Linked DNA regions of Pelodiscus sinensis. The protein of the gene in region 1 interacts with the protein of each later gene in a pairwise test. Links are inferred from orthologs where the notes say so. Each region holds a gene or a part of one and is shown in the gene's direction. Other genes may lie near its edges. The genes, in order: CLK4 and UBL5.

The links.
Region 2: the proteins of CLK4 (region 1) and UBL5 interact in a two-hybrid assay, tested with the Homo sapiens proteins (2 studies listed by BioGRID and IntAct). The link is inferred for Pelodiscus sinensis from reciprocal best matches to the Homo sapiens genes CLK4 and UBL5.

What each region holds. Positions count from the first base shown.
Region 1 is NC_134727.1:32,819,416-32,829,286, reverse strand, and holds the start of CLK4 (dual specificity protein kinase CLK4), read left to right. Parts: upstream 1-5,493; 5' UTR 5,494-5,641; intron 5,642-5,647; exon of another isoform or gene 5,648-5,786; intron 5,787-7,785; coding exon 7,786-7,940; intron 7,941-9,081; coding exon 9,082-9,307; intron 9,308-9,871. UniProt on the Homo sapiens protein: Dual specificity kinase acting on both serine/threonine and tyrosine-containing substrates.
Region 2 is NC_134729.1:14,651,654-14,661,841, forward strand, and holds UBL5 (ubiquitin-like protein 5), read left to right. Parts: upstream 1-5,570; 5' UTR 5,571-5,703; intron 5,704-5,891; 5' UTR 5,892-5,900; coding exon 5,901-5,956; intron 5,957-6,147; coding exon 6,148-6,231; intron 6,232-7,202; coding exon 7,203-7,240; intron 7,241-8,277; coding exon 8,278-8,321; 3' UTR 8,322-8,551; downstream 8,552-10,188. Other genes in the region: FBXL12 (F-box/LRR-repeat protein 12), read right to left, coding at 2,916-3,725, 4,783-4,855, 5,449-5,543. UniProt on the Homo sapiens protein: Ubiquitin-like protein that plays a role in cell proliferation and sister chromatid cohesion by associating with spliceosomal proteins. Participates thereby in pre-mRNA splicing by maintaining spliceosome integrity.

The sequences.
Region 1 (9,871 bases):
GTGACATTTCATCTGAGAAAAGAGGAGGGTAAGAGGGAATATGACAGAGGTCTATAAAATCATGACTGGTGTGGTGAAAGTGAATAAGGAAACGTTATTTACTCGTTCCCTTAACACAAGAACTAGGGGTCACCAAATGAAACTAACAGGTAGCAGGATTAAAACAAACCAAAGGATTCATTCATGCAATGCACACTCAATCAGTAGAACACCAGGCCAGAGGATGTTGTGACTTTAACAGGGTTCAAAAAAGTACTAGATAAATTCACGGAGGATGGGTCTATCAATGGCTATTAGCCAGGATGCGTAGGAATGGTGTCTCTAATATGTCAGACACTGGGAATGGATGACAGAGGGTGGATCACGTGAAGATTCCCTGTTTTGTTCATTTCCCTCTGGGGCACCTGTCATTAGGCACTGTCGGCAGACAGGATATTAGGCTAGATGGACCTTTGGTCTGACCCAGTCTGGCCATTCTTATGTTCTTAGATTGTTGCAGTGGTAACAAATACTAATAATTAATGATCCATCCATGTCTAACCTTAGTTCCGCTTCATACTGAGAAACAAAAGGAGAAATGGGGTTTTTGGTTTGATGGAATCTGTGTTTAAAGCCTTATTGTCAAGAAATCGTCCAAGGAAATCTTCATGAAACAGTTTGCCCAAAGCTGCACTGCCATGCTGTCCATAATACATGCATGTCTATTCACTAATATTTGGCAGGGGTAAAAGTGAGAAATCAATCGTACACGTACACTACAAAGTAGAGAAATCAGCTGTGCACTAATGGCCATGTTTGACTTTAGGTATACAGTCTCTGTTCTAGCAAAAGCCATGCTACGCCTTAGTGGTTCAGTACTAGTTTGAGAAGGAGACGCTCCCGGGAAGCAAATCCCAGAATGTGATGTCTTGCTAACCTGGCATTGCCAAGGATGATATGTCCACAAAGTGCTCCGTGGCAGAGGCACTACATCAGAGAACCCGAAATAGGTCCAGTTTTGAGATTTACTTTCAGAGATCCCCTTAGAAAAGCTACTGTAAATAAGTGAGTTTGAATACTGACGTGTTGGAATGACAATCCAGGTCTAGTTTCCCATCATTTGTCCTTGCTGCCTTTAATTGTTGTGTATTTTTTCTTTAACAAAACTGTGTTGGTTGGAGTTCCTCAAATTGCATTGCTGTGTGTATGTTGTGCATCACAGGAGCCTGGAAGAAAATTGTCCAGTGCCCAGATCAGTACATGTGGCCAGATGCACCATACCAAGGATTTGCTTGTCTCTGAGACATCGGTGCTGGATGCAGGTTACCAAATGTCATTCATTATAGAAAATTCCATGTGCCCACAGCTCTCGCTTGTCTATTGGTCAATACTGAGCTAATCTATAACAAGTTATACGGAAGCAAAATCTGCCACTCTGCCTCATTGATTCTGCAAGTAGTCTCATTGAAATCAATCACACTGATCCATAGATCTTTGACCCCATCAGGAATAAGAAATAGGTGGTCTCAGTGATTCACGTTTGCTGAGTGATGTATAGTTTCTCTTTTTAGAGCTCCAATCAATTTGCCTATGGTTGCAGCTTTCTGGCTTAGACAGCAAATCAATTGTATTAAATATTTTTGCAAGGCCTTGTGGTGTTGCGTAGGAGAAACACCCCTAGTACAAACTGTTAGCTGTTTGTTTAAGTCTGTCCATGATAATACAATTAGTCAACTGAGACACCAGATTGCCACAGAAGAATTCAGAAACAGGGAGAAACTTTCTTCAGCTTTCACAGGGAATACAAATCACCTAAAGAACAAAGTGAGTGTAATGCTTGGTCATTTTGTTATGAGGCATTGAGGATGTATTCATAAACAGCGAGAAACAATTTCTAGACTGTACAATTCATTATAAAATTTGACAACGATGTTAATAGATTAGCTACTGATGCTAGGCAAGAGACAGAGATCTAGAGATATATCTATAACTCATGCATACATATATCATGCAAGTGTATTTAAGATTAGTGAATTATCAGTTTCCCAGGGTGGAATTACAGAACATCTTTAGATACAGATCACAGACATGCTGAATTGAGAGGTGCACCGAATTGACCAGGACAGCTGAAACCCATTACCTGATACAGTACCAGTTAGCCCTTTGTCCTCTGGAACTAGGATGCATTTAGGGTCTCAGAACCTCAGTCCACAGGACAGGTATAATCTTTGCCTTATCTTCTGATGATCTCCCTTAGCTCACCATCATCACCTCAGTCTTCTCAAGGATGGAACCTTCGCCAGCTCACCCTCATCCATACTCATATGTTGAAAATGGAACTAAACTGCACTCTGAGTCATACAAAATGGAGGGATGAAGCTGAATATCATCAGCATATAGAAAATATGAGATTCCATCCCACGTCGCCTCCCCAATTCCCTCACCCTCCAATGATCCTATATACTGAAGGGGAGGAATGATGTGGTAGGGTCCTGTGTGGTACCCTCAGGAGAGAAAAACAAAATATCTAAAACTACTTTCTGGGATTTCTTATATGGAGAGAATGAAGCCACCACATGGCAATCAGGTCTGCTCTTCAGCCAGTCTCCAATGGAGGTAACAGCACTCCATGACTAATATGTGGTAGATCAATTAATAGCGGTATCTGATCTTTAGCTATTGCCAGAAGTTCATTGACCAGACCTGTCTCAGGTGCTGTAACCTGTTCTGAAGCCAGAGTGACAAAGCTGGCGAAGCTCAGAGGTGTCTATGTAACCTGCTGCTTCAAAGTTCTCGCCAGAAATGGAAGATCAGGATGACTATTCTTAAAGGAGGTCATGAAACTCTCCATCAGAAAAGGACGCAAAGTTTTCCCAGTAGCCATCACCCACCAGGTAAGGCATGAGTCCAATGAAAGGTCTGTGGTATAAAATTCCTCTAAGACATCAAGAACTTCACAGAACACCACCAGAGTAGGTTCTAGCACTGATCTAGCAGCCATCCACTCAGGGTCCTGCTCTACTGTCACAGCAGATTGCTAGGTATGAAGCCTGCACAAAATTCTCTGCAAAACAGCAAAAGCTCTTTTCTCCCAGTGGGAGGTGCGAATTGACAAATGAGCCTTCAAAAGAAAGTAGCCTAGACAGAATGGACCGTATGCTATGCAGGTAGGTCTGCTGAGAGAGACAGTGAAGATGCTAAACACTCTGTAGGAGATGCAAGCATTCCTCCCCTGCACAACTAAAAGCATAGGACCTCATGAAATCCTGGGTCAGGAGCAACAAGGACATTACTATATTATTCACCAGTATGGTTAGTAACAGCTGCTCTGTGTGTGCAGATATCACAGTATTCATATTCTCATGTCCTTCCTAAGAGGGTTGTTTTCCATCAGAAATCAGACTCCTCCACAGGCCAGCCACCAAGGGGCAAGGAGAGGGACTGGAAGTGCAGGGCTGTGAGAAACTGAGTGCAGTAGGCATGAAAACCATATTTCCTTATACCAAATATGGGACACCTAATACAATTATTCATATGCAAGCAAGTTCAATGGCAATCAATCAGAACTATGCAGTGCAAACGTTCACATTAACATCAAGTTCACAGAGCCTCTGTTGAAAAGAAATACTGTGTAGCTAGAGTCTATTTAACATCTTATCTTTAAGGCTTTAGGATTCATTCATGAAGAGGTGATACACACCCCCCATACAGACACAGAGGTGACACAAATATTCCCCTATACCTCTCTAACAAATGCGGGGATGACTCAACCCTACCTCCCTGGTGTTCTCCACCCTCCAAACCTGGCTTGGCCCCAGGAGAGACCCGCCTCTCTTGGTATGTGGTGCTGCGTCTTTCATCACATGTTTGTATATCACATGATTTCTGCCAGGGTTCACAACAGAATATGGCCAGCAGCAGCTTTTTAGCACTGTGCCGAAGGGAAGAAATGGGAGCTGCTTCAAGCTACCAGAGGGATTGGGGGGGGGGGGGGGGGGAGGGAGGGGAGAGCTGGCCCTTGTCTGCAGAGTCCATCTCTTCCCCTTCTCCCCTCTGCTCACCAATAGCTGGAAGTAGCTTGCCCCTTCCTGCCCACACAATGTAGAAAGGCAACCAACACCTCCAGGCTACTGCTGGCCACTGACATAACCTACCTACCTCCTGTCCCTCAGCTACAGCACACGTAGGAAGGAGTTAAACCCTAAGGATGCCTCATGCGCCAGGGCCCAGGAAACCAGATTTCAGAAAGTTCAGCGAACTGGGCGTGAGCGGTGGATCAGCTGGGGAAGGTGCCCAGGGGACAGAGCAGCCCTACGCTCCCTGCAGGCAGGACCCAGGGTCTGAGAACAGATGAAGAGGTACTAAAGCCCATTTTCCAGGGTCTAGGTGGGGGCACAAACAGGCTGGAAATTGTTTTTTCTCCTCCATTCCAGAGCTTAGCTCAAAAGCAGAGAGTGGCCAGTTCCCGCGCTATGTGGGGCTTTATCATGCTGTGAGTCGTGGGCTTCCCCAGGGCCTGACCCAGCCAGAGGCAGTGGGGGAAGGAAGGAGCCTGCTGACCAGGCGGTTGGGGAGCTGAGCGCTCCAACTTGGAGCTGAGCGCTCCAACTTGGAGCTGGTTCTGTGCACAGAGCTGAGAGCAGGAGATGCCCTGACGGGAGCATATGAAGGAGCCATGGGCCTAGGAGACAATGAAGGGGTGAAGCAGGGAGAGAACAGTGAAAGGGGGAGCACATAAAGGGCTGGTAGGTGGGCAGGAGTGGCAACACAGAGCCAGCCACCACCTGACGTCTACCTGCGCTCATCATCCTCCACAGCTTGCAGCTACAGCCTGTGCCAGGCAGAAACAGGATGGGGGAAAAGACCCTGATGTCCGAGAGTTGACACCCAGTGGGCGCTGTGCTGATGGGACCAGCCGAGGGAGTGGCGGGCCCCACACGCTGCAGCTTGGCCCCGCCACCAGCCTCGTGTGCGTTCGCACACACCCCACACCACCATCGTTGGCACTGCACTCCCGCACTCACTAGCGGTGGGAGGGGATGTGGCCAGCAGTAGGACCCGCCAGGACTGAGTGGGGAGGGAGACAAAATGCAGGACAATCTGCCTGTTGTTGGGAGAAAGTTGGGACACCTACAGGAAGGCTTAAATATGGGACAGTCCCTTTAAAAAGGGGGCATCGGGTCACCCTAGCAGTAGGGCGTGCTCAGCCCCCCCCCCCCCAACCAGCTCCTGAGTTTTTTGGGCACCTAAATCCATGGGAGTCAGGTGCATAAAAGACCCTTGAGTGCAGGGGCCTATGGGCAGCTCTGTGCTTTCCACAGCCTCCCTCTACCCCGCCCCGCCCTCACAGGGCGGGATCCTTAGAGGACCCCCAAACAGAGGTCACGTCTCAGTGTCTCCTCTCCCCCCCCCCCAAGGGGCGGGGCCGTAGCGCCTCCCTCACCCGCCAGCAGGGGGCGGAGTCTCAGCGTCTCCCTGCTCCCTAGTCGCTGCGGCCGCTGAGGGGCGGAGTCCCGTTGTGGCCCTAGCGGGCTGCGTGTGACGCCATCGCGCACGGGCGGGCGGGGGAGCCGTAGTTCGCTACTCTCCAGCGCTGGGCGCGGCCGCCATTTTGTTTGTGTGAGGAGGGCGGAGACGGGTGTCGCTCAGCTCCTCGCCTGCCGTAAGTCGCGAAGACGACACCCCCCCCATCCCTTGTCAGGACGGGGGAGGCCAGCGCCGTGGTGGACTCGAGCCGGCTGCGGTCGAAGCGGGGCGCTTATCGCTTCAGCCCGGGCGCTGCGGGCCAGGCAGGGGGGCTGCCCGAGGTGATGGGAAGCGGCCTGAGGGGAGCTTGGGGCGGGAGGGAAAGATTCTGAGGCTTTTTTTTTGGGGGGGGCGGGCGCTTGGAGGTGATTCGTTTCCAGGCCCTCACACGGGTGGACCCGACACCCGCCAGCTGTGCAGCTTACTCCCCTGTGAGAACCCCCCATACTTCCCCCTCCCCCCCACACATCCCACCCCACACACGGCTCCCCCCCCCCCACATGTTCCATCCCCTTCTGCATCCCCCATTCCCCGCACACGGCCCATCCCCCTCCCCTGTAGATCCTCCCGGCCCCCCCCTCTCGCTCTCACAGCCAGGAACTGCCAGGGAGACAGGGTCTTGTATCCTGACTAGATTGGGGTCTGCAGAGGAAGCAGGTATCCGTAGGGGAGCCTTCCCTGCCCGGGGCCAGTGGCCCCCACTGCTCCCCTTCAGGGGCCCCAGTGCTCCTTGGCTGCCCTGGCAGCTGCTCGGAAGCACAGTGGCCTGTAATGGACCTGGCACAGGCAGTTCAGAGCTGTACAGAGTCAGTAGTTGTGTAATGTCAGTAGCTGAAATTGGCCTAGGGAGCTAGTGGGCGGGTTGGAGCAATGGTTCCCTGTTTTAACCTCCTGTGAGCATCGCCAAAGGTGACGGGAGGGGATGAGATCCGCAGGTGGAGGTTGCAGGACTTGATTCTGGAATGTATCAGGATGGCGAACAGCTGGATCCTGCTCTACACTGGGACAAGGCCTGGCTCAGATCTCGCAGTGTGAGGATGGACTCCTGCTTCCCGCAGCTCCCCTTGGCTGGAAAGGGTGAACTACTGTGTGTTCATGGATGCTTAGATAAACAAAAGTGTCTCTTGGCCTGCCAGTGGCTTTCCCAAACATGCCCACCATGACCTAATTTTTAAAAACCCCTTATGTACGCCAACTGAAGAAGCTCTTCTGTCATTGTAGTAGTACAGGGATTGCCAACCTGTGGCTCTTGAGCCACATGCCACTCTTTGCTCACAGGAAATGTGGCTCTCAGGGTTACAGCTTGTTCGGAGCCTCATGCCTACTTTGTGCATATCCCTCTCCCTCCCCCCCCCCCCCCCCCCCCCCCAGTTCCTGGAGGGAGAAGTGCATGGCTGTGGCGATGGCAGCTCTGGTGAGACCCAGGCATTGGGTTAGAATGGGAGGGGGTTGGGGGTGCCTGGTTCTGGCAGAGGGAGAGAGCATTGAGTTAGAGTGGGGAAAGCTGGGGGGGCCTGGCTCTGGAGGAGGGATGTGTGGCTCTTTGCACTACTATCCACAGCTCCTTTGGCTCTTCGTGTCAAACTGATTGGCCACCCCCATAGTAGTATCTTCACTAAAGAACTATAGCAGCACAGCTGCAGTACTGTTTGTGAAAACAAGCCCTCAATGTAGGATTGAGGATTTAATCTGTAACCATTTTTATATCTTGAGAACACTGAGCCCTTACTACCCTTAGGCTATGTTTATAGTACATACCTTACAGCAGCACTGCTGTACTGCTGCAGCTTTACTGCTCTAAGATCTCCAGTGTAGCCATTCTATGCTAGCGGGAGAGAACTCTCCCTGACATAATTAAACGATCCCTAATGAGCAATGGTAAACTGTGATTTCTGTATGAATCCGTCTCTTGAATCTGGATTAGGAATGTAAAATCCTGTTTAATTGGTTAACCAGTTAAACAAATTATTTATCCAGTTAATCATTTAAAGGGGTTGGCTGAAGTGGCCCCCCTTGTCTGTGGTTCCACCCGTGCAAGAAGAGGCTGCACTGGCCATGCTGGAGCAGCCCCTATCCACAGGGGGCACACCATAGGGTTGGAGTAGATCCTGCCTGTGGCATATAGTGAGCTGCTCCAGCTCCCACTGGTTTACCTTAACCAGTAAGCGGGTGAGGTTTAGCAGTTAAACTTTCACATCTCTAATCTAGATTAGTAGACTGTCATATCTGTGTATACTGAAATGGAACCATTTTTTCCCCCTTTAAATATGTCAATGAAAGATGCAACATTCAAAACGAAGTCATTGCTCTGAGTGGAATGATAGAAAGAGCTGGGATCAAGGAAGTCACAGTGTTCCCCATAAACGCAAGAGGTCCCACAGCAGTGACAAAGAAAGCAAACCCCATAAATCACATCATCTTGAAGTTTCAGACAGGTAAAAGATTCTTTGAATTACCAATACTGATATCTCTAATTGTAAGTAAGATTAATTTAAATTAAATAAAAAATTGTTTTGAGAAGACAAGACTTGCTAATGCCTTTAGGAGTTGGCTCATTATTTGCCACGCTTAAGTAATGTATCGTTTTAGTGATACAGTGATTAAATTGTTTAGTTGTGATTCTTTGATACAAAATATTAACATCCAATCTGTTTCTGTGAAAATCTGCCTGGTAAGGATTTATATTGAAATACAATATGCAGTATTAAATTTTAATAAAATGTTTCTCGTGTGTAAGAGGATGGAGGAAGAAGGTGAATGTTTGCTCTCTTAGAACATTTTATAGAAGGGTAAGTATGGGTTAGATTGCTTTCATTCATTTTTCAGGTGTCTTTCTTTTCTTTCTTTTCCTTTAAGAGGGGATATAGGTCTTCTGTGTCCTTCCTTTGAGAAAGGAAGACCATATTTTAAAGAACTCATCAGTTTGCTTCTAAAATGGTAGGAGTGGATGTGCAGTACCATGAGATTCTCTTTTCTGTGCTGCAGCTTGCATGATCCCTATTTTCTGGAGGGAGAGTCTTCGCACCAAAAATCTCTCTGATTCTTAGTGTTTTAATGTAGCACACTAACAACAGGATTTTAAATTCTTCAGGGTGGCAAATTGGGTTTTAAGAGTTTCTCTTATATGCTTGTGTGGTTTAAGGAGAGGGAAGGAGATAATTGTTGTATTCAAGAAAGCTTGGGCTTGCACTTCATCTTTTGATTTTTGTATGTTTTAAAGAGAGATTTGAATTGTTGGAGCGGAGTATGCCAAGTACTTCTATTGAGATGAATATTTCCTATTTGCATTTGGATTTCTTAATACTTGTACAGGTTATTCTGCGTACACAATTCCAAAGTAAGGTAATCTATATTGGATGACTTAATCAACTCCGTCATATAAACTAGCCTGAAAATCTCTAGCGGTTTTCTAGGGGGGAATTGTTGTAAAGCAAAATTCCTTCCGTAAATAAATATGCCATAAATGTACATTTAAGCATTAGCAACTCAAAGATATTTATTTTGTTGGAACACAAGTATTTTTAAAGTGGAGAATATTTTTAAAGTGGAGAAAATTCATTTTAAATATATTTTCAGCCATTATTTGGATGACAAATTCATAAATGAGAGAGATCATCATGACCGGAGGTATGTTGAAGAATACAGAAATGACTTCTGTGAAGTATATGACAACAGGCATTATCACAGAGACTATGAAAAGAGTCACCGTCACCACCATAGCAAATCCTCTGGTCGGAGCAGGAAAAGTAGTCATAAAAGGAAGCATAAAAGGCGTCATGGCTCTGGTCACCATTCACATTCGGTATGAGTAATTTTTAACTTTATTATTAATAGATTAGTGATAAAATTCTTTAGTGAATGTCAGAACTTACATTGCTAAGCCACAAGTATCTGGGACAGATATATTTTATATAGAAAAGGTTCATAGGTGAGCCTCTTCCTATGTATATATACAACTTAGAGGAGAATTTTAGGTACGCAGTAAACAGGTAGCACTAAGGAAAATATTTATCATTAGTACTATTTTATCGAAGACTTTGTTCTATTGGCAATATCCTTTGGCCAGTAGGTAGGTTACCTACTTTCTCTAAATTCTGGTGTGGAAATGATTGCAAGCACCTTTCTTGCTTCACAGTATAAATGTCACAGTATGGTCAAATAGCTATTTTACAGCCAGTTTGAGAACTGAAGTAATGTACACGATTATTTAAATATAATAGATAAACATGACAGTACAACTGATGTCTATCTTTTAATACGTAACAGACACTTCAGTTCCATACCTTGCTCCTTTCCTAGTTGTGATCATTCATGTGTCTGACTAATGGCTATTGAATGTTTGTTGAAATTTGCAGAAACATGCGAT
Region 2 (10,188 bases), on another chromosome or scaffold:
GACAACTTGACAGATTTAAAAGCACTTTTATTTTATGCACAAATGTTACATTTGATTACAAACAACTCCGCAGATCTAAAAACTGTCCCAGAATGGAAGCTTCACAGTGCTGTGCTACCATCCTAATGTCAGCCAAAATTTGCTAACATGATCTCAGGGCTTTGTAACATCGGGGAAAGATGAGGTAGCATTTAAACTATAGAAGGCACAAGCAGCCATGCACAGCAATGTCACCCAACAAACCAGGAGCAGGATCTGGCTGCTGGCAGCCTGCTAATATTACTCAAATACTATATAATCCCTGAGGTCTATGCTCCAATTATCTGCATACATTTGGACCGCTTCTACACTACAGATTTAGGTCAACACAAGGTGGTTTGTGTCGACATAATTCTGTCTCAGACGACAGTACAATGGTGCTCCCGCCAAAGTAAATTGCCTGCTACAGGAACTTAGTAACGCCACCTCCACTAAGGAGCGTAACACTTAAGTTGACAATAGTTACAATGATGCAGCGTGGGCACAGACACCGTGTTACTTGTTACTTTTGATGGCTCCAGGAGATGTCTCACAATGCTACACGACGACTGCTCTGGTCACTGTTTTGAACTCCACTGTCCAATGCCCCTCGCCCTTTAAAGCCCTGTGAATTTTGGAATTTCCATCTCCTGTTTGCTCAGGAGGGAGACTCGCCTTGAATCGGCCCAGCCGACCATACTGGTTGCATGCAGCAAACATGCCCTGACTTGAGCACACGAGATATGATGGCTCTCCTGGGTCTGTGCAGGCACAGCGCCGCTCCAGGCACAGAAACATGGATCTCCCTGGCCAGGGAGACTCAGGGACATGATGGAAAAGGGGTATAACAGGGAAATGCAGCAGTGCAACATGAAAACCTAGGAACTACAGCAGGCTCACCAGAAGGCATAGGAGGCAAAGTTACTGTGATGCCCAGGTGCAAACATGCTGCTTCTACAAGGAGCTGCATGGCATCCTCAGCGGTGACTCCTCCCCACCCCCTGGGCCCTGCAGATACTTCTGAGAAGTTGGAGTCATGACTGCTGCAGTGAATCCTGACTGGACGAATGAGGGAGAGGGGCGTGGGGGACGGTGGAGTGGTGAGCCCAGACCTCTTCCCCACATGGGAGCTGTCAAGCCAGTCCCTAGGATCCAGCATCAGCAAGTCTTATGCAGGGGAAAGAACCTCTGGTAAGGACATTTGCTTCAGTATTGCAGGGACGCATCTGGTCACATATCATGTTTTCAAACAGGCTAGATGAGACAGTGAAATAACCGTTAGTGAAAGAGATGCCATCTGCCTCACTCCCTGGACAGCTAGGCAGAGGCCATGCAGCACCAGGATGTCCCCTGCACCCTCCATAGCGCTCTCAGGAAGCAGTCTACAAACCCTGCCGAAGGCTGCCTGGGGGGGAGGCGGCTGCCCTACTTCCTTCACCATAGTAGGTCACTTTCCCATGCCACTGCACAATTAATGCAGTAGGCATCATTGCAGCACACAGGCTAACTGCATACAGACCAGGTCAGCAGCTGAACGCATGCAGGGGCTATTCCTTTCTGCCTCCGTTACCTGCAGGAGCAAGGTATCTGCTAACACTCCACTGCCTGTGGGAGCCAGTGAAGTTTCAACTGCCCCATCTGCTTACACCGATGCCTGACACTGTCCTGCCTCACCCTGTCCCATGAGGTGGCCCTGCAGCCCAGCTCTACGGATCCCAAGGAAAGAGAACATTGTACTTGTAACTGGTGGGGATACTCACAATAGTACTTCTGTCCCTTGGTTCTTTTGCAGCTGCAAGTGTGGCACTGAAGGCCTCTCCGTCCACACCAGTAGAGCAGTCCTTCAAATAGCAGGAGAAAGAGGACAAGGGAAGACATGTAGCAGGAGGGCCTGTAAGGCTCCGCTGTGTCCGATTCCAGGCTTGCCGGGTGACACTCGGGACAGAACGCAGAGGGATAGCGAGGACAGGATAAACAGGTAGATAAGGATGATGGTGCCGCTCAGGGAGCAGACAGGCATGCTGTGGTCTCTGACAAAACTTCAGGTTAAGCAGGTGCATGCTCGCCCCCCCCTCCTGCAGACAACTGCATTCTGGGTGCTCCCTACACTCCTTCCAGGCATCCTCCTGGGCCACAGCAGAACCCCTGCCACTCCATCCTACAGGACAAGACACAACCACAGTCACCTATGCACCACACTATGAGGTACTCGGCTGGAGTCTGTTTGGAAAATGAACATGCCAGGTTCTTTCCGCTTGTTCCACGCCTGTAAGAAGGTTCATTCTGTTATAAACATGTTTGTATAATCCTTGATCCACTTCCTATTAGGCATGGTTAGGAGTGTGCTCATAGCACAGCAATGTGGAGATGCCTTTTGACCTGGGTTAAATTTTATCGAGTCCAAATTTGGGCAACCAAACCCTTTTGTGTTTCAGGAGACGGCTGACTTACTCTCTTGTGCTTGGAGATAGCTCAGCTATTGTGTGAGGTTTAATGTGAGACAGGGTTAAACTAAAGAGAACCCCTCCCCCTCCTCCCGCTGCCAAACTGTCTCCAATCCAAATCAGCTCATCGGGCCATTGGACCACACAGGCTGTCCATCTACCTGGCCTGGCTATTTTCTTAGCAGGAGGTGTGGGGGTCACTTCAGCCAAGCAGAGCACAGAAAAGAATTTCTGCTGCCTGTCTTTAGGTGATACAAGCTATCAGGCTAGTCCTCACTCGACACTGCTCACCTCACTGTTTTAGCTAGAGAAAATTCCGCCTGCAAGTACTTTGGGGGGTACGAACCTGCCCATACGAAGCAATTCTGGATGTTATGTCGGGGTGAATATCCCACAGCTCACCCTCGTGCGTTTCACGTAGTTCGCCACTTGGAACGCATGTCAGGGAGCACATTAGAAACTGCAGTTGGGCAAACTCGCCTGAATTTTCTGTATTGTCTGGTCTTCCAAGTCAATCCCATCTAGATGGAGATGTTTTAACTGGGGCAGTGCCTGGCACACAGCAACAATGGCGTTAGGAGACAGCTTACGGCTGAATGCAAGACAGAGGGTTTCTAAGCACTTCAAGTCTGCTATACAAGCCAAGCCTGCATCTGTTAGGGAGCAAGCACTGCTGATTTCCAAAGAGCGGAGTTGTTTCATGTGACGTCTGATGAAGTGAACAGCAGCATCTGTAATGACACATTTGTGCAGCACCAGACACTCCAGGTCTTCCAAATGCGGTGCTGCTCTCTGAATCCCAGCGTCGGTCAGCCGGTAGGTTCCAGAGAGGCTCAATGTCCTCAAGCTGCTCTGAGATGAGATGTTGAACAGATGCTGATCAGAAAAAGCAGGAACGTTATGGATGATGAGATGCTGCAGTTGCAGCAGGACTCTGGGAGCCTCAGGAGGTGCAGATCTTTGGAACCACACAGCAGGGATCTCACACTGGCTCAGCTCCAAGGTCCTCAGAGAAGTTGGCATACAGTCATATGGGAGCAGACGGAGGTCGGCCTCTGTCAGGCACAGGTGATGGAGGCTGGGGCACTGCGTCCCAAGTGCCTGCAGCAGCGCGGGGGAAAGGAATCTTTGTTTTCTCATTGAGCACAGAGCTCCTCTCGCTTTCAGTATCCTCAGGCCATTGCGCAGGTGCTGCCGCAGCAGGTGCCACAAGATCCTGGAGCTGATCTGAGCACAAGAGAGCAGCAAGAAAGCACTTGGCACCTTGACAAGAAATGGAAAAAATGCTACGGAAGCACTAGGGACGTAATAGTGTAGTCGATTAACCAATAAGCAAAAGCATATTGATTAATGTTATAGAGGACATGTATTCTCCCCACCCTTCTTGCCAGTACAGTTTTTAGCAGGCTGGCTAGCAGCCCGGCTTACACCAGGTCTGGGACCTACCCCGCTGCAGCTCTGCATTTGAAGTGCATTAGGAGCCAGGTGGGCAGGCAGCCCAGCTCAGTTCCGGCTCGTGCTGGGTCCGGGAGCTCTGGACCACCCCTCCCCATCCCCCTGGGACAGGGACTGCTGCTAACCCACACTGCTGTCTCTGATACAGAGGCAGCAGCATGAAGTGGCAGGGGGCTCCTCAGGAGTGGGGCCGGAGGGCACTGATGGACGGCCCCACCCCCAGGGACTACAGAATAGTCGAGCAACCAATAAGAATTCATGAGGTTAATAGAATATTCAATTAACCAATATTTAACATCCCTAGAAAGCAATAAATGAGCAAAGAAAGGCCCATCCTGCTCTTCTTTAAATATGTTTAAAAAGGTACTTGACACTGGTAGGGTAAACCACAGGCACTATCCTACACTATATTGCCTCTTACCCTGACTACTGATGCTCCTTTACCTACGAGCAACCTCAGTCCCTGCTCTTCAAACTCTAGCATGTATCAGATACTGATGCTGCCTTTTGCTACACACACACACACACACACACACACACACACACACATACCCTCCCTCCTCAGACACCACCCCTGGTTTCAGGAACTTGCTTTCAGCAACCCTTCTGGTTTTAAAAATGCCCTTCAGAGACTGGTCAACCTTTCTGTCCAACACTAGGCTCCTGTACATCACTCCTCCTCCCCCCATGCCCCTGAAATATCTTAACTGTATCTCTCCTAGTCCTCCTTTTCTTCACCATCTCTCATGTTGGATCCCAAGTGCAGGTATTTGAGCCACAAAGGCCCCTCTGCCATTTCCCCAGGACAGAATTTATCAGCCCTGTAGAGTGGTTTTGAGTAGGAGGCATGCAGCTGGACTGGTACCTGGTATGGTGTTAAATCCACATATCTCCAGAGCATCTTGTCCTGCACCAGCCTGTGCCAGCGTTTGCAGACCCTACGGGGACAGAAGCAGTGCAGGTTATGATCCCGGCAGCAGCCCGCATGCTCAGTTGTGTGTATGCACATGCCCGGGGAGGGCAGAGAGTATCCATCCGGGAGGCATGAATGACCCACTCCCCTTCCAGGGGCATGTACACAACTAGGAGAAATCCCATCATGGGAGCAGGCAAGAATTATGGGGACTGCGGCTGAATGGAGACACTTGCGGGGGTGTTTCCCATGGCGGAATGAAGAGGAGATCTCGCTATAACCACTCAGGAGGGAGGGACTCCCGTGGGAGTGGATGGAGCTGCTGGGGGGGAGGGAGGGTGATTCCTGTGGGGCTGAAGGGGGGGGGGGGCGTTCCCGGGGCCGGACGGAGCCGCTCGGGGGGGGGGGGGGTCCCGCGGGGCCGGACGGAGCCGCTCGGGGGGGGGAGGGTCCCCGCGGGGCCGGACGGAGCCGCTCGGGGGGGGGAGGGTCCCCGCGGGGCCGGACGGAGCCGCTCGGGGGGGGGGGTCCCGCGGAGCTGGACGGAGCCGCTCGGGGGGGGGGGGCCCGCGGGGCCGGACGGAGCCGCTCGGGGGGGGGGGGGTCCCGCGCCGTCACCTGGCCCCGCGCAGCCGATCGCGCAGCGGCAGCAGCGACAGAATCTCCACTAGCAGGAAATCGGGGAGCGCCCCCAGACTCAGTGCTGCGGCCATCGCCAAGCACTTCCGCTTCCGGTTCCCACTTACTTCCGCTGGCAGAGCACTTCCGGTTCCGTTCGGCCTCACTCGCTTTCCGTTTGCAGGGCTCTTCCGCTTCCGGTTCACTGTCCGCGGCGCTCTCCTAGGTACCCGCGGGCCGGTGCGAGCTGCGGCGGTGAGTGCGGGCGGGGGCGGGGCGAGCCCGGGACTCCCCGTTCGGCCTCATAGCGAGCCCCGCCCCCGCAGGGTTCCCACACGTGGGCGGCCATTCCCTCCCCCGGCGCCGGTCCCACACGGCGGGGTCGCCCCGGGCCCCCTCCCTGCGCCGTAGGGGGGCCGCTGCTAACGCCTCTCGCTCCCCAGGCCGGCAGGATGATCGAGGTTGTCTGCAACGACCGGCTGGGCAAGAAGGTGCGAGTCAAGTGCAAGTATCCGGCCCGGAGTGAGGGGCGGCCCGCGGGGAGGGCCCCGAGCTGGTGGGAGTCTGGGACCCCGCCCCCGGGCAAGGCGACCATAAACGTCTCGCTCCTTCGGGAGGGGTTCTGGCCCAGCCAGTCCTGCTCTCTCCGGGGGCTTGTTCCGTGGGTTTGAATGTAGTTTCCTTAACCCAGTCACTCAGCACTGAGGACACGATCGGCGACCTAAAGAAACTCATTGCAGCTCAAACTGGCACCCGGTGGGACAAAATCGTGCTGAAGAAATGGTAAGTGGGTGAAATGCAGAGGCAAAGGAAGGAAAGTGGCTTAGCAGTTCTCAGGCGCATCAGGCTCGATGTAGTTGGACTCTGTGGTGCAATAGTTTCAGCCCCATGGAAAGTCTCCCAAGGCAGGTAAACTGAGTTCTGTACGCTTCCCTATATGTGGATGACTGATATGGCCTTCAGCTACAGTCCACACCCGTCCCACCACATATACTGCAACGTAGCTGCATTTGAGGTAATGAAGGCTGGGACACTGCATCCCAAGGACCTGCAGCAGCGAAGGGGAAATGGTGATGGCATGTAGCTGCAGACTTCCAGTATGTATTCATTTAAGATTTCCTTTTAGGTTCTGAATTTAATTCTCAGACGTTTCACATTCTGTACCTTCCCTGTTCTATTGTTCAGTGTTCTTGGGAGCTCCACTGATAAATCTTTCACTTAAATTCTCAAAGGAAGGGCAGCAGCCTTATAAAATAAAAGTGTACATAACTACAAATTATTCCAGAAACGCTAGTTAGTTTTCCTTCATACTCTCACCAGCAGTGACATTCAATTCAGAATTTTTGTTTGATTCTCTGTCTTTTTACATAATTTTTTACTGTTCCTCTAACACTTCATTGTTACCTGTTCTCTTCATTCTCTCTGAAGTACCTGCCATTGTTCATTGTCAGAAGACAAGATACTGAGCTAGATGGATCTTTGGTCTGACCTAGTATGGTGGTTCTAACTTCAATATGTGTGAAATTACTATACAAGTCACATTGTAACTGCACGTTGGCAGTGTCATCCTTCTCCCCGCAGAACCTGTGATTGGCATCTGTTAAAGCATTGCCTCTATGATTTTCTATTGTAACTGATAACAGCAAGACTCTGGATACTATCCTAATTATTCCATTACTATTGACTATACTTTCTTTTGTTCTTGTATTACACTTTTATTCTTGACTAACTTTCTTTTTGACACATTTGTGCAGGTACACAATCTTCAAAGACCATGTGTCACTGGGAGACTGTATCCTTGAACATTAGACTTGTGTGTGTAAACTGCAGCTTTTGGGGAAAGCCTTTGTCTAATTAAAATAACGGTTGTGTTCTTTATCTGCCATATGTTTCAGTTTGTCTGGTTATAAATCAGTCTGTCCGTTCAAGAGCTAGGAGCACCAGTTTGGTATATAGCTTCCTCTTATCATAGCTCAAACCAAGGTCAGGGTTTGGTTGTGCCAGGAAATAGGGTTGTGCCAGGGATGGGATTGTCTCTCATAAAACCATACAAAAGAGAGACTGAATTCACCTGCCTGGTGAAGGGGCTGGCTGGAGGTACATGCGTACACAGGCCCAGCCCCTCCCTACCCTGTGTCAAGGACTTTACTAGTCTTGAGCCTCCCATCTTCCAGGCACCCTTTGGTAAGGGGAGGGGGGCTGAAGATCTTCCCCAATTCGTAAGGGAGCATTGTGCACTTTCTCTTGCTGCCTGGGAAGCACAGGAGGCAGAAGAACTTGGTTTTCCAAAGATACCAAAAATTAATAAAGGACCTGAGCAATTCAGGGTAGTTCTTCTAGTCACTTAAAAGATCCACAACCTATGAAGTGGAGCGATGGACATATTATAAATACATAGCTAAACAGAGACACTTCCTAATCTGACGTAGTTGCTTGTTATAAACCAAAGGTCTCATTTGTCTCTTTGGGTACTAGTGACTGATGGTATTGGTAGGCTACCATAAGATAACTGGTGGACCTCTGGGAAAAAGTCCCTTACTAAATTGAGTGGGTAGCCTGTGACATGGGACTCATTTGCTGAGTTATGGTATTGAAGCTTCCAGTATTGCATATGACCCATGTTCCCTTGCATGACACTAGCAATTTATTTTATCAATTTGCGATAGAAACACACAAAGTGGGAAGGAGAATTATGTGAGAATTTGTCTAATGTATCAAAGAATAAACTTGCTGTTGTAATTTATTTTGAATTATTGACCAGGGAGAAACCTAATGTCACCTACCGTTTGAGCATTTCCTGTGGAATTCCCCTTAACTCATTCCTTTCAGATGAAATCCATGATGGCATGAACCTGGAGTTATATTATCAGTAGTCTTGAGTCTAGCTGCAGTTACAAATGGCAGGCATCACTTTTCTACATTTTTTTTCTGCTATAAAACTTGTCTATAAACTTTATTTCATGTAAGGTAAAAATTAGAAGCTCAAGTTGTGCATTCAGTTTTATCAGATATCTTCAGTTTTGATGGCTATAAAAGTGGCTGCAAACTTGTAAGAAGGCTGTTTTATTTTTAAAAAATGTTTGCAATAAAAGTTTCCTGATAACTTTTGTATCCTGCTCCTGGATTTGTCAGAAGAAATCTCTTCTTTAACTGACATAGCAGCCCAAATTAATGCAGCTGTTGGAAAGCAGTGGGCTTTAGACCCCATTTAACTTTCTGGAATCAGAATAATACTGTAGCACTCTCCATCCATCTGCTCAGAGGGACTCTCTTCTAGTTAGAGTAAGCAGCACATTTGCTTCGGGTTTGTATCTGTCATATTCAAGTTAGATTTTTTTTTTAATTTTTAAAAGAAATTTTGCATAGTACTGTGGTTAAGCTATGATCTGGGCAGGAAAATACGACCAACTCTCCCATCACACACTTGTTTCTAAGAGTGAAAGAAGAGCAATTGATTAAAAAAAATGCTTCAACAAGTAATAGGAATAGCAGTAATAGCCTTCCGAATACCTTCATTCTTAACCCATGCAGTCTCCGGTTTCCATGGAAAGTCTGTCTGATACAACTTCTCTCAAAGCTGTTATATTTATTCCCTTGTCACCCTTTTCCAGGCTCCTTTTGCACTAAACCCACCCTGTAACCTGTACTGGGATAAGGAACCTGATACGTTTTCCTGCACAACCTGAACTAATCTCTTGAATTCCTGTCTCATTGTTTGTAGCTGCTCCATCTGCTGGATGGACTTGCATTTTTGTGACATCCTTTCTCAGACACCTGGTGCTTCACTTTCTTCTATTTTGCCTGTAGTGACATCTTGCCTTTTCTACTAACTTTTAGTTATTCATCTCTTTGAGCCTTTTTTATTTGTGCATCAATAAAGTTCCTTCCTGCTTCTCTGTTCTAGAAGCCCTGACAAAATGAAACAAGAGCAATCAGATCACCCAGCAGTTTACAAAACAAAAAACAGAAGCCAAGCTAATCACCAAATGTGTAACCTGTATCCCATGATGCTTTTTATCCTCAACGTAAGACATTTACTAGGACTAGAAATTATGTTTAACATTTGGAAATATGCTTCCTAGTGTATTTTGGGGAAAACATTTACCTGCTAGTAGTAATATGTGATACCACTTCTAACATCAAACTGCAAGATCTCATCTCTAGTTTGTACAACAAGCTATTATTTGAGAGTTAAATGTGATATGAAATTGCACATATAATAGGGAGAGCAAAAAGTCACCTGGATGCAAAACTTCTGATGTGGCCTCACCAATGCGGAATAAAGGGGAATGATCACTTCCCTAGATCTGCTGGCAATGTTCCTACTAATGAACCCAATATGCCATTTGCCTTCTTGGCAACAAGAGTGCGCTGTTGATGCATCTAAGCTTCTTGTCCACTGCAGTCCCCAGGTCCTTTTCTGCAGTATTGCTGCTTAGCCCATCTGTCCCCAGCTGGTATCATTGCATTGGAATTTCTATCTTGAGTGTGGGACTCTACACTTGTCCTTGTTGACTCTTATCAGATTTCTTTTGGCCCAATCCTCCAATTTGTCTGGGCGACTCTGGACTGTCTCCCTGCCTTCTAGCATATCTACCTCTCCCCACCATCTTAGTGTTATCCGTGAACTTGCTGAGGGTGCAATCCATCCCCTCGTCCAGATCATTAATGGCCTTAGGACTATCCCTTGGGGCACTCTGCTTGATACTGGCTGCCAATTAGATGTTGAGCCTAACAATC